Linked DNA regions of Pelodiscus sinensis. The protein of the gene in region 1 purifies or fractionates together with the protein of each later gene. This does not show direct contact. Links are inferred from orthologs where the notes say so. Each region holds a gene or a part of one and is shown on either strand. Other genes may lie near its edges.

The links. The genes of interacting proteins can lie anywhere in the genome.
Region 2: the proteins of RMND5A (region 1) and RANBP9 purify together in Homo sapiens (affinity purification with mass spectrometry; 9 studies listed by BioGRID and IntAct, counting the BioPlex papers as one, with this or other methods). This does not show direct contact. The link is inferred for Pelodiscus sinensis from reciprocal best matches to the Homo sapiens genes RMND5A and RANBP9.

Annotation. Positions count from the first base shown.
Region 1 is NC_134715.1:122,882,357-122,889,953, forward strand, and holds the start of RMND5A (E3 ubiquitin-protein transferase RMND5A), read left to right. Parts: upstream 1-4,575; 5' UTR 4,576-4,999; coding exon 5,000-5,141; intron 5,142-7,597.
Region 2 is NC_134712.1:106,033,844-106,041,201, reverse strand, and holds the start of RANBP9 (ran-binding protein 9), read left to right. Parts: upstream 1-4,345; 5' UTR 4,346-4,692; coding exon 4,693-5,113; intron 5,114-7,358. UniProt on the Homo sapiens protein: May act as scaffolding protein, and as adapter protein to couple membrane receptors to intracellular signaling pathways. Acts as a mediator of cell spreading and actin cytoskeleton rearrangement.

The DNA of each region.
Region 1 (7,597 bases):
GTTTTAAGAATTACCCTAAATGCCTTGAATACATCATGGAGACCACAGTTATTAAACTAACAAGAATGTGAGAAACTCAGGACATGCGGAGATTAGGTTCCACAAATGTCTCAACTCTGGCCCCTTATGCCTGGACACCAACAATCTATATTAGGATGCACGATCCAAAAATATTTAAGATATTATTTAGATTATTTTATCTTCAGGGCAGAGACTGCCTATCACTACAGGACTTTAAAATGCCAGTGTGGTAAGTCCTACTGATCTTGACTGGAGTTTAAGTGATCTCATGACACAAATAATGCAATAATGTGATGTTTCCTAATTTGTACACATTTTCAGGGCTGCATACATGAGTTAAATTGGCTTTACTGACTCATGAGACTGTGACTATTGGTAACTACAGACAGAGTAATAAGAGGCCAGATTAACAGGAAGAATTACAGGTGGTTACAGTCAATGTAGATTTGATGAGTAAATGTGCAGGTGAATATACAGGTGTGTATTTCTATGTGCAATAGAGCAAAATTCCTAATTCCACAATATAATATTCGTATTAGGTCTCGTTCTATTTATTGCATTTATTTACCTTTCCCCTCCCCTCTTTCTCTGACTTCCAGAGTCTAGTAAATATCCTGAACATTCATCTACCTGAATTGAGGCCCAATCAGCCTAAACAGGAGAGGAATAAGTCAAAGAACTCTTAAAAATCCTCTATTGCCATGAACTATTCAGTATTCTCTTGTCACAGCACCAGTGCTGACTCATTCAATTTATCATCCAATACAGAAAATAAACATAGGCAAAAAATTCAAGCAAAGCAATCTGCAGTTACTGTCATTACAGCAGAAGCCCAAGAAGATTGACCACTTTGACAGTGCAGTGGAAAAAAACCAACTGAAAATAAAAAGGATGAATTAAATACAGTAAATAGAACCAGACATAATGGCCACATCTAGATTGCATCCCTTTTTCGTAAAAGGGGTGCAAATTAGACATATCGCAATTGCTAATGAAGCGGGGATTTAAATCTCCCCCGCTTCATTAGCATAAAAATGGCAGCCGCTTTTTTTCAGCACGGAGCTTTGCTGGAAAAAAGCGCCAGTCTAGATGCGGATCTTTCGGAAAATAAAGCCTTTTCTGAAAGATCCCTTATCCCTTATTTTAAGAGGGATAAGAGATCTTTCGGAAAAGGCTTTATTTTCCGAAAGATCCGCGTCTAGACTGGCACTTTTTTCAGGCAAAGCACCGTGCCTAAAAAAAGCGGCTGCCATTTTTATGCTAATGAAGCGGGGGAGATTTAAATCCCTGCTTCATTAGCAATTGCGATATGTCTAATTTGCATCCCTTTTATGAAAAAGGGATGCAATCTAGACGTAGCCAATAGGAATACTGCATTGCTGGAACTAAGAATTTTGCTCCAGGTTCCTTAGCAAATATTTTCATGCCTATGGCTAACTGAATGTGAAGTATTTAGTGAAGACAGAATAAATTAATACTAAAGCATAACTTGAGACTCCTGTGATAAAATTTAGCTACACTGCCACAGAGGATGGAGACTCATGAGCAATGCCTCAGTTTCCCCACCAGAAAAGTAGGATTATTAATATTCTCTGTGAACTCCAAGTAACTGATGTTAAAGGAATAGGATGAAGTTTTCAAGCAGGGTTTGAAAAGTTCACCAGCTATCAACTTGTCAAAACATTAAACTCACTAGACAAATCCAAAATAAAACAGGGGGGTAACACACTATTCAAACTAATAACCCAAGGAAAAGACAGCTACCATTCCTCCAACTTGCTGGAAAGGGAAAGGTGCTGGGATTCCTACCATGGTACTGTCCCTTCACCATAATCAAGAGCACCATCTTTCATGGAAGCCTCTAGAGGTCTAACAGTTTTGAAACCTCTCTATACACTGCCTCCATAAAAGAAGCATTTTCTACCAGCCCGTGACCTTGAAGTTGTTCTATTAATCTAGTCTCATCCTTCCTTCAGACTCTTGAATTTCCCTCTTTAGTAATTTCTTTTGCTATTGCTCAGTGTTTTTCCGAACAGCAGCAGGGTCAAAGCAACATAGTTCTTGTCAGTTCGACCCCTACATACAGGATTCTGAATAGCAACATAAAAGCTACTTAAGTTCTGGTCTCATTTAAACTGCTGTTGTTTGAAAAAGCTCTGAGCATGGGAACCAATTGCAGATTCACATAGCTAGCAGCAGTAAAGTGAAATGAATTACATAGCACCCTACCAAGGAATGTGACGAGATGGAAATAAGATTGTGGAAGCTTGAGTAGACAACATAGGTCAGGGGTCCCCAACGTGGTGCCCGTGGGCGCCATGGCGCCCGCCGGGGGATTTCTGTGCGCCCGCTGAAACATCTGGGCTGGCCCCACCCCCAGCGCGCGGCACATGCATGGTGCTGGCTCCAGGCGCGGGACGCATGGGCGGCCCCTCCCCATGGCGCGCGGCACATGCGCAGGGCCGGCCCGGGGCGCATGGGCAGCCCCAGCCCCGGCCCCAGGGCACATGTGCAGTGCCGGCCTGGGGCGCGTGGCTCGTGGGCAGTCCCGGGCGCGCGGCACATGCGCAGTGCCAACCCTGGGCACATGGCTCGTGGGTGGCCCCGCCCCCGGGTGCGCGGCGCAGGCGTGGCCCCACCCCCGTGTGCCCGGCACGTGAGTGGCTCTGTCCCCAGGCACCTGGCAGCCACGCAACGTTGGGGACCACTGATGTAGGTGGTGTTAGGGTTGGATAGGGAAGTGAAGTGGTGGGCGATGAAGATCCTTTAACACAGTGGTCACCAACCAGTAGATTTTGATAGTCTGGTAGAGCTTAGCACGTCTGACAGGTGATCCTGACTGGTTTGGCCAAGAGGTTATCAAGCACAGCACTTCAGCGCCTCCCACCCCCAATTGCTGCACATCTCCTCCCCTTTGCCTTGGAGTTGCCTCCCCCTCCAGGAGCCTCCTGCTTGTTGTGCAGAGGAGGTAAGAGAGAGGAGGGGTGCTAAGGTCAGAATGCTCCCCTGCCCTCCATTCTATCTCCACAGAATGGAAGGGGGGGGGCACACAACAGGGTTTGGGATAGAGAGAGTTTGCTGGCTGCTTTTGGGAGTGGTGCAGGGCCAAGACAGGAATGAGCCTGCCTTAGCCCCATGGTACCACCACCCAGGAGCCACCTGAGGTAAGCACTGTACACCTGAAGCCAGCTCCAAACCCTTGCCCCAGTCATGTACCCCCACCTACATCCCAAGCCCTTACCCTAGGCGTGAGCCCCCTAGACAGAAATTCCCTTATAGAGCCTATACCCTGAACCTCCCCTCCTGCAACCCAACACCCTACCACACATTGGCTACGTCTAGACTGGCATAATTTTCCGCAAATGCTTTTAACGGAAAAGCACTTTTTGTGGAAAAGCGTCCATGCTAATCTAGACGCACTTTTCTGCAAAAAAAAAGCCCCGATAGCCCCGATCGCAAAAATGGCTTTTTTTGCGCAAAACAAATCTGAGCTGTCTACACTGGCCCTTTTGCACAAAAGCTTTGCGCAAAAGGGACTTTTGCCTGAATGGGAGCAGCATAGTATTTCTGCAAGAAGCACTGATTTCAGACAGTAGGAAGTCAGTGTTCTTGCGGAAATTCAAGCAGCCAGTGTAGACAACCGGCAAGTTTTTCCGCAAAAGCAGCTGATTTTGCGGAAAAACTTGCCAGTCTAGACGCAGCCATTTAGTTCAGAGCCCTTCTCGCACTCTAAATCCCTTAGCCCAAGACCAGAGCCTGTGCCCCAACCCTCTGCCCTGCCTGGTGAAAAGGAGGGAGAATGGAGGAGGCAAGGAGGACTGAGTGAACTGAGGCAGAGCCTTGGCAAAGAGGCATAAAAGAAGTGGGGCAGGGTACTTGGGCTGGAGGTAGATTCTGGATTGCATTTAAATTTTAAAAAGCCATCTTGCACTTATAAAAGTTGGCGACCCCCCCCCCTGCTCTCACAGGTCTTGTCTCCCATTAGCGGATGCAATGCGGCACAATCCTGACTCCAGAAACAAAATACAGGACTATGTAGCACTTGAAAGACTAACAAGATGGTTTATTAGGTGATGAGCTTTCGTGGGCCAGACCCCACGAACGCTCACCACCTAATAAACCATCCTGTTAGTCCTGTATTTTGTTTCAGCTACACCAGACTAACACGGCTACATTTCTATCACCCGAGTCCAGAAGGCACAGCTGCTGGACTCCTTGACTGCCTCTGCCTGAGCCAATCCCCTAGAGATCAGGGGTTTTCCCCCATGGCAAGCTACAATGCCCAGGAGAGCCGCAAGCACCGTCACCCCGACCCCTTCTGCTTGCAGCTGGGACTGCACAGGTACCACCGGAGGCGCCCCTGGCACAGCGCGCCCCGCGCAGGATCGCTCCCTGGAAGGCTCCTCGAGGTCACTAGTGTCCAGCGCTACGCCGCGCCCCTAAGGGGCGCTGGAGTATTTATACGTGCACGTGACCACCACCACCTCCTCAGGCCCCGCCCCAGCCTCGCGCCCTGAGCTTCCCTAAGAGCGGCCGCAAAGCAGCCAGCGCGTCTGCCTAAGGAGCTACCCGGAACACAGCGCAGCCGAACCCTGCCCCCGCCCAAAGACCCAAGGTGGCTGTGGCACTGCCTGAAAAAAAAAAATTCCGCCCAGGACTCCGATCGCTGCGCCCGCACTAAGCCAAGCTCCGGCTATCAGTATGGGTCGTGGAGTAACAAACCACCATAGCACCCCAGCTGTTTGAAACAGAGCCCTTCTGTGGACCCCGACTGTCTACTGTGCCGCCTGAACAACAACTGCCTAAGGACCCCGGGTGCCCGCTCCGGTGCCCACACAGCCAGGGAGCCCGCTGCCGCTGAGGACCCCGGCTGCCTTGGCGCTGCCTGCCCAGCCGCTGGTAGAAGTTCGAAACAAAATCCGGCCCGGCGGCGGCAGGCAGGCCCGGCCGGAGGAGCGGCAGCCCCGCGGCGCTCGCCATGGATCAGTGCGTGACGGTGGAGCGGGAGCTGGAGAAGGTGCTGCAGAAGTTCGCGGGCTACGGGCAGCTCTGCGAGCGGAGCCTGGAGGAGCTGATCCAGTACGCGGGGGGGCTGCGCCGCGAGATCCTGCAGAGCGAGAGTACGTGCGGCGCGCCGGGCCCGCCAGGGAGCCCGATCCCGGGTCCCCTCGCCCCCCCCCCATGGGCCCCCCTCCATCCCGGGTCCCCTCGCCCCCCCCCCATGGGCCCCCCTCCATCCCGGGTCCCCTCGCCCCCCCCCCATGGGCCCCCCTCCATCCCGGGTCCCCTCGCCCCCCCCCGTGCTCCCCCCTCCATCCCGGGTCCCCTCGCCCCCCCCCGTGCTCCCCCCTCCATCCCGGGTCCCCTCGCCCCCCCCCGTGCTCCCCCCTCCATCCCGGGTCCCCTCGCCCCCCCCCATGCTTCCCCCTCCATCCCGGGTCCCCTCGCCCCCCCCCCATGCTCCCCCGTCCATCCCGGGTCCCCTCGCCCCCCCCATGCTTCCCTCTCCATCCCGGGTCCCCTCGCCCCCCCCCATGCTCCCCCGTCCATCCCGGGTCCCCTCGCCCCCCCCCATGCTCCCCCCTCCATCCCGGGTCCCCTCGCCCCCCACAGGTTCCCCGATCCCTGGTCCCCGCGCCGCTAGGTTCTTCCGGGGCCCCATGGTCTCCCCCCCATGCTCCTCCCCCATCTTGGGGCCCCATGGTCCTCCCCATGTCCCCATCTCCATGCCAGGGCCCCTCGCCCCCCATGCTCTCCTCTCCATCCCGGGTCCTCTCGCCCCCCATGTTACCCCCGGTCCCGTCGCCCCCCACAGGTTCCCGATCCCTGGTCCCCGCGCCCCTAGATTCTTCCGAGGCCCCATGGTCCCCCCCCATGCTCCTCCTCCATCCCGGGGCCCCTTGGTCCCCCCCATTCTCCTCCTCCGTCCCGGGGCCCCTCTCCCCCCCATGTTACCCCCGGTCCCGGATCCCTCTGCCCTCCAGGTACTCACAGCCCCGGGGCCTCTCCCCACAGGTTCCCCGATCCCTGGTCCCCGTGCCCCCAGGTTCTTCTGGGGCCCCTCGGTCCCCCCATGCTCCCCTCCATCCCGGGGCCCTTCGCCCTCCCCCCAGGTTCCTCCGATTTCCTGTCCCCTTGCTCTGCCCCCCCATGTTCCTCCTCCATCCCGGATCCCCCCCCCCACCATGCACTCTCAATCCCGGGTCCCCTCAGCATCCCCATCCTGGGTCCCCTCCCCCCATCCTGGTTCTCAGTTCTCAGCCCTCTTTCCCTTCCGTCCGAGCTTCTGCCCCCAGTTTTCATTTGCACCCCCTCTCCTAAATCCTGTCTGCATGACTTCCATTTGTCCTCACTGATCCCAGTTTCTCAGGCACCTGCCCGAACGAGCCCCCCTAACCCCATCTCAGCTCTTTGGGCCCCTTCCCTTTGCTCCCAGCTGTATCTGCAATAAGCCTTGGAGCTCCATGTTGTCTGTCCCCTCAGGAGGCTCACATCCCCTCTTTCCACAGAGACTCAGAGTCCCTGGGTCCCCTCCCCCCAGATGCTCCAATCTGGCTTCTTAGGCCCCCCTTTTCCCAGTCTCAGCAGCCTCTTTCACCATCATTCCTACCACCATCACCCCTTCCCTGTTTGGAACAACTCCTCTGAGCTGCCATGTCTTCCTTCTCCTTCCTGGTCCCATCACCCTGCTGCTGTTCTCTGTGATTTTTAAACACTCAAGGAAAATAAAATAGTGATTTCATAAACAGAGTGTAAAAGGGGGAAAATTCCTAACCAGTCATAACATAGAAAAGTTAAAGTAAACCGTCTTTGGACAAACTTCCTTTTTTTCATTGTCTTCCTTTCTTGCCTATACAATTTTTTGTAAAGGGGAGCAAGCCTCTGTTTACAGTTTCTTAGGTGGCATTAGGTGGTATTAAATGCTCTTGTAACTTGAGTCATAACACTGTAGTGAAGAAGTTACAAGCGTGTTTAAATTTAGACCATGGCAACACCTTACAGTTAACAGCATGCTAACCAGAGTATTTGAGCACCGTTGTTACTGTTAGTAGTGTGGGGTCCTAACAGGGCTTTCCTGACTTGCGGAGACAAGGTGGATGAGGTAATATCTTTTATTAGACCAATTTCTGCATACTGCTTGGACCGGGCAATTTTTCTGTTTCCAAGATCAGTTAAAATAATCACTGTGCTCCTTCGGGGAAACTGCGCACATCTCTGCTATGCTCTGAACGTAAACCATTTTGTTGCGACCATGGTTCTAATGATAGCATGCCATAGACAGATTCTTATTTGGGTGATGGAGGAGGCTAGCACTTCTGGTTGTGGGTGTTGAATTGGGACGAAGATTGGTCCATTTCGAACATGCCTGTTTATTCGTTAATGAATACAAGTGTTTACTCTTGGTCAGTGGGTTCTGCTGTGCCATCTTTATATTGGTCAATATGTTTATATCTTTATTCCTTTGCATTGAGTAATAATGGAATTAGTCACTGCTATTGAAAGCAGTCTTAACAGCCCGACAAGATGACGTAAACAACAGGTTTGTTGGATTTTCTGGGTCACTGAGTTTGTTGCC
Region 2 (7,358 bases), on another chromosome or scaffold:
TTAGGATACATAGGGAATGAGACAGACAATATTATAATGCCTTAATAGTGTGACCTCACCTGGAATACTGTGTGTATTGCTGGTCACTCCATACCAAAGAGGATATGAGAAGAATGAGAACCTGGCAATTGATCTTGTTGCAAGAAGGATGACAAGAATGATTAGGGAGCAAAGTGGCTTAGACGATATCTTTTACTGGACCAACATCTGTTGGTGAGAAAGTCAAGATTTTGAGAAGTAGTCCCAGTAAAAGATATTACCTCACCTATCTTGTTTCTCTAATAATCCTGGGATTGATACAGCTGCAACACCACTGCATACAACAATGATTAGAAATATGGAAAAACTCACGTGCGAAGACAGATTGAAAAGACTGGGATTATTTACCTTAGAAAGGAGATGAATAAGAGTGGAGAGAATAAAAGTATATAGAATAATGAATGGGCGCAAAAAGGCAGAGCAGGCACTTCTGCTCTCCCGATCTCATAGTACAGGAACAAAGAGACAGGCATTAAAAGGCTACCTATTTAAAATAAATAAAAGGAAATACTATTGCACACAACATGCAACTAGACTATGGAATTCAATGCCACAGGAAGTTGCTGAGTTGCCAGAAAATCAGCAAGATTCAAAATAAGGATGTTAAGGAACAGGTGTTTGCTAAGTGTGGAGTCAATACAATTGGATACACGATTAGTCGATAAGGGGAGGCATTCTCTGTGACCACTGCACCTCTACATTTTAAAGGTAATAAGAGCTTGGCGGCTCTTACTACATTTAAAATGCAGAGGCACAGTGGTCCTGCACCCATATGAGCGGGAACTGCTCAGTCCCAGTTCATGCCGGGCCTGGCAGCCCCTCTTTGTGGTGCCTGGAGCTGGGCACAAACAGGGACTGATGCTGATGCAGCCCCTCCCCACAGCCAGCCTGGCTGCTGTGAACAGGCATTGCTCTGTAGCAGCAGTTCCTGTTTGCAGAGAGGCCAGAGCAGCCTCCTTTGCCTCCCATCCCGAGAGGCAGCACTGGGCTCTGCCCTCCACTTCCTGCCTCTCATACCAAGGCAATGGGGAGGGAGAGTGAGTAGTCGAGTACTCCACTTGAACCGCCATTGTGACATGGCTGTGAAAAGGCTAATACGGTCTTGGGATGTATTAGGCGAGGTATTTCCAGTAGGGATAAGGAGGTGTTAAGTGCCATTATACAAGGCATTGGTGAGACCCCATTTGGAATACAGTGTGCAGTTCTGGTCTCCCATGTTTAAGAAGGATGAATTCAAACTGGAACAGGTACAAAGAAGGGCCACTAGGTTGATCCGAGGAATGGAAAACCTGTCTTATGAAAGGAGACTCAAGGAGCTTGGCTTGTTTACCTTAACCAAAAGAAGGCTGAGGGGTGACATGATTGCTCTCTTTAAATATATTAGAGGGATCAATACTAGGGAGGGAGAGGAATTATTTAAGCTTAATACCAATGTGGACGCAAGAACAAATGGATATAAACTGGCTAGTAGGAAGTTTAGACTTGAGATTAGACGAAGGTTTCTAACCATTAGAGGAGTGAGGTTCTGGAACGGCCTTCCAAGGGAAGTAGTGGGGGCAAAAGATCGATCTGGTTTCAAGATTAAACTAGATGGGTTTATGAAGGGGATGGTTTGATGAGATAACATGATCTTGGGAACTAATTGACCGTTCATTATTAGTGGGAAATAGGTCAATGGAGGGATGATAGGAGTTACTTTAGAGAACTTTCTTGGTGTCTGGCTGATGAGTCTTGCCCATATGCTCAGGGTTTAGCTGATCGCCATATTTGGGGTTGGGAAGGAATTTTCGTCCAGGGTAGATTGGCAGAGGCCCTGGAGGTTTTTCGCCTTCCTCTGTAGCATGGGGTACAGATCACAGCTGAAAGATTCTCTGCATCTTGGGGTCTTCAAAGTATTTGAAGGCTTCAATATCTGAGATATAGGTGTGAGGATTATTCTAGGAGGGGTGGGTGAGATTCTGTGGCCTGCACTGTGCAGGGGGTCAGACTAAATGATCATAATAGTCCCTTCTGACCTTAAAGTCTATGAGTACTCCACTTGACTATTGGATACGTTTATGTTTATCGTAGTCGAGTAGTTGATTACTCGCTTACATCCCTAATTCAAAAAGGGTCTACGACAGTTGTAAGACCAACGTGAATACTCAGAATTAAAACAGTTATTGCTAAAATATATGTATATATAATAAGAATGGTCGATCCCCGGATATTAAAGAGAAAAGCTGGGTGATGTAATCTTTTTTTTGGATTACATTTTAGTGGTGAGACACACAAGGATTTGATTTTCACAGACTTCTTCAAGAAGAGCACGACAGCTAAATATAACCTTGAACAGATAGAATATGTGCTAACTACTTATAACAGTGGTTCTCAACCTGTGGCTTATGGGCTGCTTACGGCCCAGTATGGGCTGCTTGCGGCCCAATCAGCACACTACTGTAGCCCACTGATAGAGCCCAGGGGATAACTGAGAAGCCTGGTGCCAGTGGGAAGCAATGCCAGGAAGCGGTGAGTGCAGGGAGGCCCCACCCTGCTGCCAGCAGCAGACTCCTGTCACGTTGCTTGGGGGCAGGAGGAGGAGCTTGGGGGCAGTGGTGGAGCAGGGATGGGAAGAGGTGGGGCAGGAGCAGAGCCTGGGATGGGCCTTGGAGAAAGGAGTGGAATGGGGGCAGGGCACCCACCCCAAAGGACAGCCCTGCCTGTTGACATTCTCTGGATCATACAGCTAGTTATATATATTATGTGGATTGCAGCCCACATAACACAGAGCTGTATGTTCAGCTCACCTTGGTAAATAAGCTGAGAACCACTGAGTTATGCTAAATTAGGGGACCATTCAAGGTGAAATGGTATGTTAACATCCCTGTAGTCAGAGGGGAAAAATATGGGCTAGCTGGTTACAGCATGTTGTAATAAACCATAATCCAGTGTCTTTAGTCAGATCTTCATTTTTTAGTGTGGACCAAAGTTATGAGTTTAAGCTCCCAGGCCCATCTTTTGAAAATGTTATGTTGTACATTTACTTTGAAGATGAGGACTGATGATGAGTCAGATACAGAGGGTATGTTTACACTACCCCGCTAGTTCGAACTAGCAGGGTAATGTAGGCATACCGCACTTGCAAATGAAGCCCGGGATTTGAATTTCCCGGGCTTCATTTGCATAAGCGGGGAGCCGCCATTTTTAAATCCCCGCTTGCTTGAACCCCGTGTAGCGCGGCTGATTTGAAGTGGTTTCCATTATATACAGGATGTACAGTATAGTTCTCTCAGCAACCTCACTATAAAAACTGTTCCAGTCCCACTGCACGTAAAGTAAGCACAGATCTCTGAGTAGCTGTATTAGACTGAAACTAAAAAAACAATGGTCCTGTAGCACCTTAGAGCCTAACCAAAAAAAATATACATATTATCATAAGCTTTCATGAGCATAACCCACTTCTTCAGATGTTCCTTGTAAACTCTATAGATTGTCAGGAAAAAATTAATCTAAGAGGTATCATTCCTTTAAGATCAAATATGTTAAACAACAGATGCCCAGCTCCCTCCACAGAACTGTTTATCCTTTGCAAAGCACAAGCAGGGGCGGTCCATCCATATAGGCGAACTAGGCGGTCACCTAGGTCACCAAGTTCAATGGGGCACCAAATGGTGGCAGAATATCATTGAGGGGTTTGGAGATGGGGGGTGCTGATTGCATGGTTTGCCTAGGGCACCAGCTGCTGGCAGCTAATTTAGGGCCGCCCCTGAGCACAAGGCTCTTTGCCTAAAAGCAATAAACCCAGTCTATAAAAGAAGATTATTGCGCATCAACACCTGAGGCAAGTGTGATTGTATTTACTGCATGTGAAGGGTGCTGGCTACCACAGGTACAGCAGGGCAGCTCCCTCCAAGAGGGCACCACCAGCCAGGTCTGCAGAGATTTCTTCATCCCCACCCTTTTGATTTAGGTGTGAGTGGGCCAGGAGATACCTCCTGTTTGCTGGCACTGACATGGGTGTGAGTGCAGACACAGGTGACCCATGGTAGCACTCCGGAGGTGCACCGCCCCCCATGGCCCTACTAAAATTGTAATTAGTAGATGGGATGCTGCCATGGGCGATCGCCCTGCACCGCAAGCACTAGCCGCCCCTGGCTGCAGACAGTACCCCTTCGCCTGGGACCCTGCTCAGTCCTCCGGGCCAAGGCCAGAGGGCCCGGGAAAACGGACGAGCCCCACCGCGGAGCAGCGCCCAGCTCCCTTCACGCCTGCTCGCGTGCCGCCGCCCTCGCGCCCTGCGACTGGCGGAAGCCCCGCCCCTTGCTCCTCCTCGCGCCGCCGCGGGGAGCCGCTCAGCTGATCCGGGAGGACGCTCCAGCGCCGCGGCAGTGTCTGGCGCCGGCCTGGGGACCAGCCGCGGCGTCTCGCGCTCTGAGCCTCCTTCAGCCAGTCCAGCGCCGCGGCCCGAGCTCGAGACCCCCCCCCCCCCTCCTTCCCCAGCGCGCGCGCGCGGCCCCCCTCGCCCTGGGTCTGTAACCGCCGCCTGCGGTGGTTCCGGGCTGCCCGTCTAGCCCCCCCTCCCCCCACCGCTTCGCTCCGCAGTGCCCGGGCCTGCCCGCCGCGCCCGCCCCGGAGACCCGCCGCGCGCCGCCGTAGTAGCTGGCAGAGGCCGGGATGTCCGGGCAGCAGCAGCAGCAGCTTCCGTTGACGGCGGCTCCCCAGGCCCCGGGGATCGCCGCCCCCGCCGCTGGCGCCGGCCCCGCTCCGGTCCCGGTCCCGGCCCCGGCGGCCGCGCTGCTGCTCCACCCGCCGCCTCCCCCGCCACCGGCTACCGCGGCGCCGCCGCCTCCCCCGCCTCCGCCCGTCGCTGGGCCCCTGCCCGCCATGGGCCTGCCCGCGGGGAGCAGCGCCCCGGCCGCCTTCCCGCACGGCGACCCGGCCCTCAACGAGCAGGAGAAGGAGCTGAAGCGGCGGCTGAAGCGGCTCTACCCGGCCGTGGACGAGCAGGAAACGCCGCTGCCCCGCTCCTGGAGCCCGAAGGACAAATTCAGCTACATCGGCCTCTCGCAGAACAACCTGCGGGTGCACTACAAAGGTGAGCGCCCGGCCCGGACACGGGCCCGGCCCACCGAGGGGGGCGCCCCCTCCCGCGTGGCCCCAGGGCTCGGCCCCACGGGGGAGGGAACCCCCGCTCCTGGACCCAGGGCCTTCCTCCATGGAGCGGGGAGCCCGGCCACGGCTCTGTGTATCGACGCGCACATTCTGGAGGGAGGGGGGCATGTTTACATGCAGGCCACCAGGGACCTCTTGCCCAGCCCCCTGCGCGCCTGGCTTCTCACCTCAGTGCCCCTTCTCCATGAGGCTAGTCCCCTAGTGGGTCCCCTTTTCACCTGGAAATCTCTCTTGGAAAGGGCAGCAGCCTGATCCGGTGTGTGTGTTGGGGGGGAGGGAGAGACATATCGGGAAATATCTTTGTGGAATCTCCTAAACAGTTTACATGATGGGCGTGATGATCCGGATTCCTCTTTTTTCTCTTACCCCGAAGTATAAGCCTATGGGAAAGCTCACCAGATCTTGTCTCCTTTCCCACTCTGGATTTTGGGCTGATGGGCTATAAATTAGTAGCCTTCCTCAGCTTGTCAATTCTGCTATCAAATGAGAGTTTGAGGGCAAGCAGGAGAATAAAGTAGGATCAGCATGGTGTCATGTGTCTGTCTACAAAAAATATGCTTTTTTATTTAGAAGTGAGAACAAGGGCTATAGGGAGTTATAAGATCAGTACATGTAAAACTACCAAACACGGAAATGGCAGGGAGGGGAAGCCACCGAGAAAATACTTCTTGGTCTGTAGAAAATGAAACGTGTATGAAATAATATAATTTAAAGTAGCCCCTAATAATAGTCCCTGGGTAAATACTATATGTAATGTAGAGCATGCTTTAGGAAATGTTCAAAATTAATTTAAAATGTAGGAGTGACCTAATCTCATACTCTGTGCTCAGGTTTCTCAGAGATCAACTTACAATATTGTAAGGCTTTTATTTCAGAAGAAAAGATATCCAAATCATATACACTCATGTAAATCTACCAGAGATGACAATAAGGTACTTTAACTGGTGATAGTTGTGAAAAATATTATAAAAGCTAGTAACTTGAGTTTACCCTGACTTGGAAAAAAAATTCTGTCATTCCAGGCCCAAATCCTATGTAAAAGTGCTTCAGATTCAAAACAGTTTCTGATTGGCAATAAAGGGAGGTCAGATTGCAGTCAAAATGAGTATAGAGGGGAAGGAGAATAACCCTGAAATTCAAGTGAAGTCTTGAAAAACATGTTATGGTTGATTCAAATGGGAGGAAAATGGCACACAAAACATACAACATTCATGACTGCCATGAAAGGTGAGGTGTATTCTGTAAAATCTACCACAGGCAGACACTAATCTATTGTTAAAAACAAAATATTCATTTTAAGTAACACAAAGTTTGAGGCAAACTTATGAAAGTCAGTACATTCAAATTTGATAAGCCTTATTGTAGGCTCTTCTTTGTATTTTATTTGGAAGACAACAAGAGTTAGTTAAAATTAACATTGTGTTTTTTATCTTTGAAGTTTCTGGCTTTTGTTTGGCTTTGTATGACTTTAAATATTTTAGGAGTATTTTGTATGTACTGGGATCTGGCTGCAATGAGGATTCTCTTACACTTGGCCAGGGTGGGGCTTTATGGATGGCTGGTCTTCCTATTGTATCTTTGTAAACTATTATTTAAAAACACACAGTATATAACAAACAGGTAGATATAGAATCTTTCCGGCCTTTTTTAATGTGAAAATATTGTTTTTCTTTTTCTGTTCCTCATCCTTTTCAGAATGTAATCATGTGTGTTTGAAATATCGATAGTTACCAAAGATATAAAGGGGTAGCTGGTTAATCGGTTACCCAGTAAGTTTTGCCTTACAAGCATGCTTACCAGGATAACTTGTTAACCAATGGGTGTCCTCGCTGGAGCAGCCCGGTGATGTGGCAGGCCCTGCACAGTCAGGCGGGATCAGCCCCTGACCACTGCTGTAGTGTGGTGGCCTTGCCCCCCGGTTTTAACTGGTTAACATTTTAAATAGGATTTTATATTTATATAATGGTTGCATGGTGACCACTGGGCACTTGGGAACTGTGGAGACAATTGTCATAAATGTACATTGACTAATTACTGTTAACCGTACCTGATTCAGAGGTGAAGAATGATCCCAGTAGGGATCACCAGACCAGTCCAGGAGAATGTGGAACAGAAATAGAGTGGGGTGAGGAGTAACTGTAAAACACATAGCCTATAGCAACTTCTCC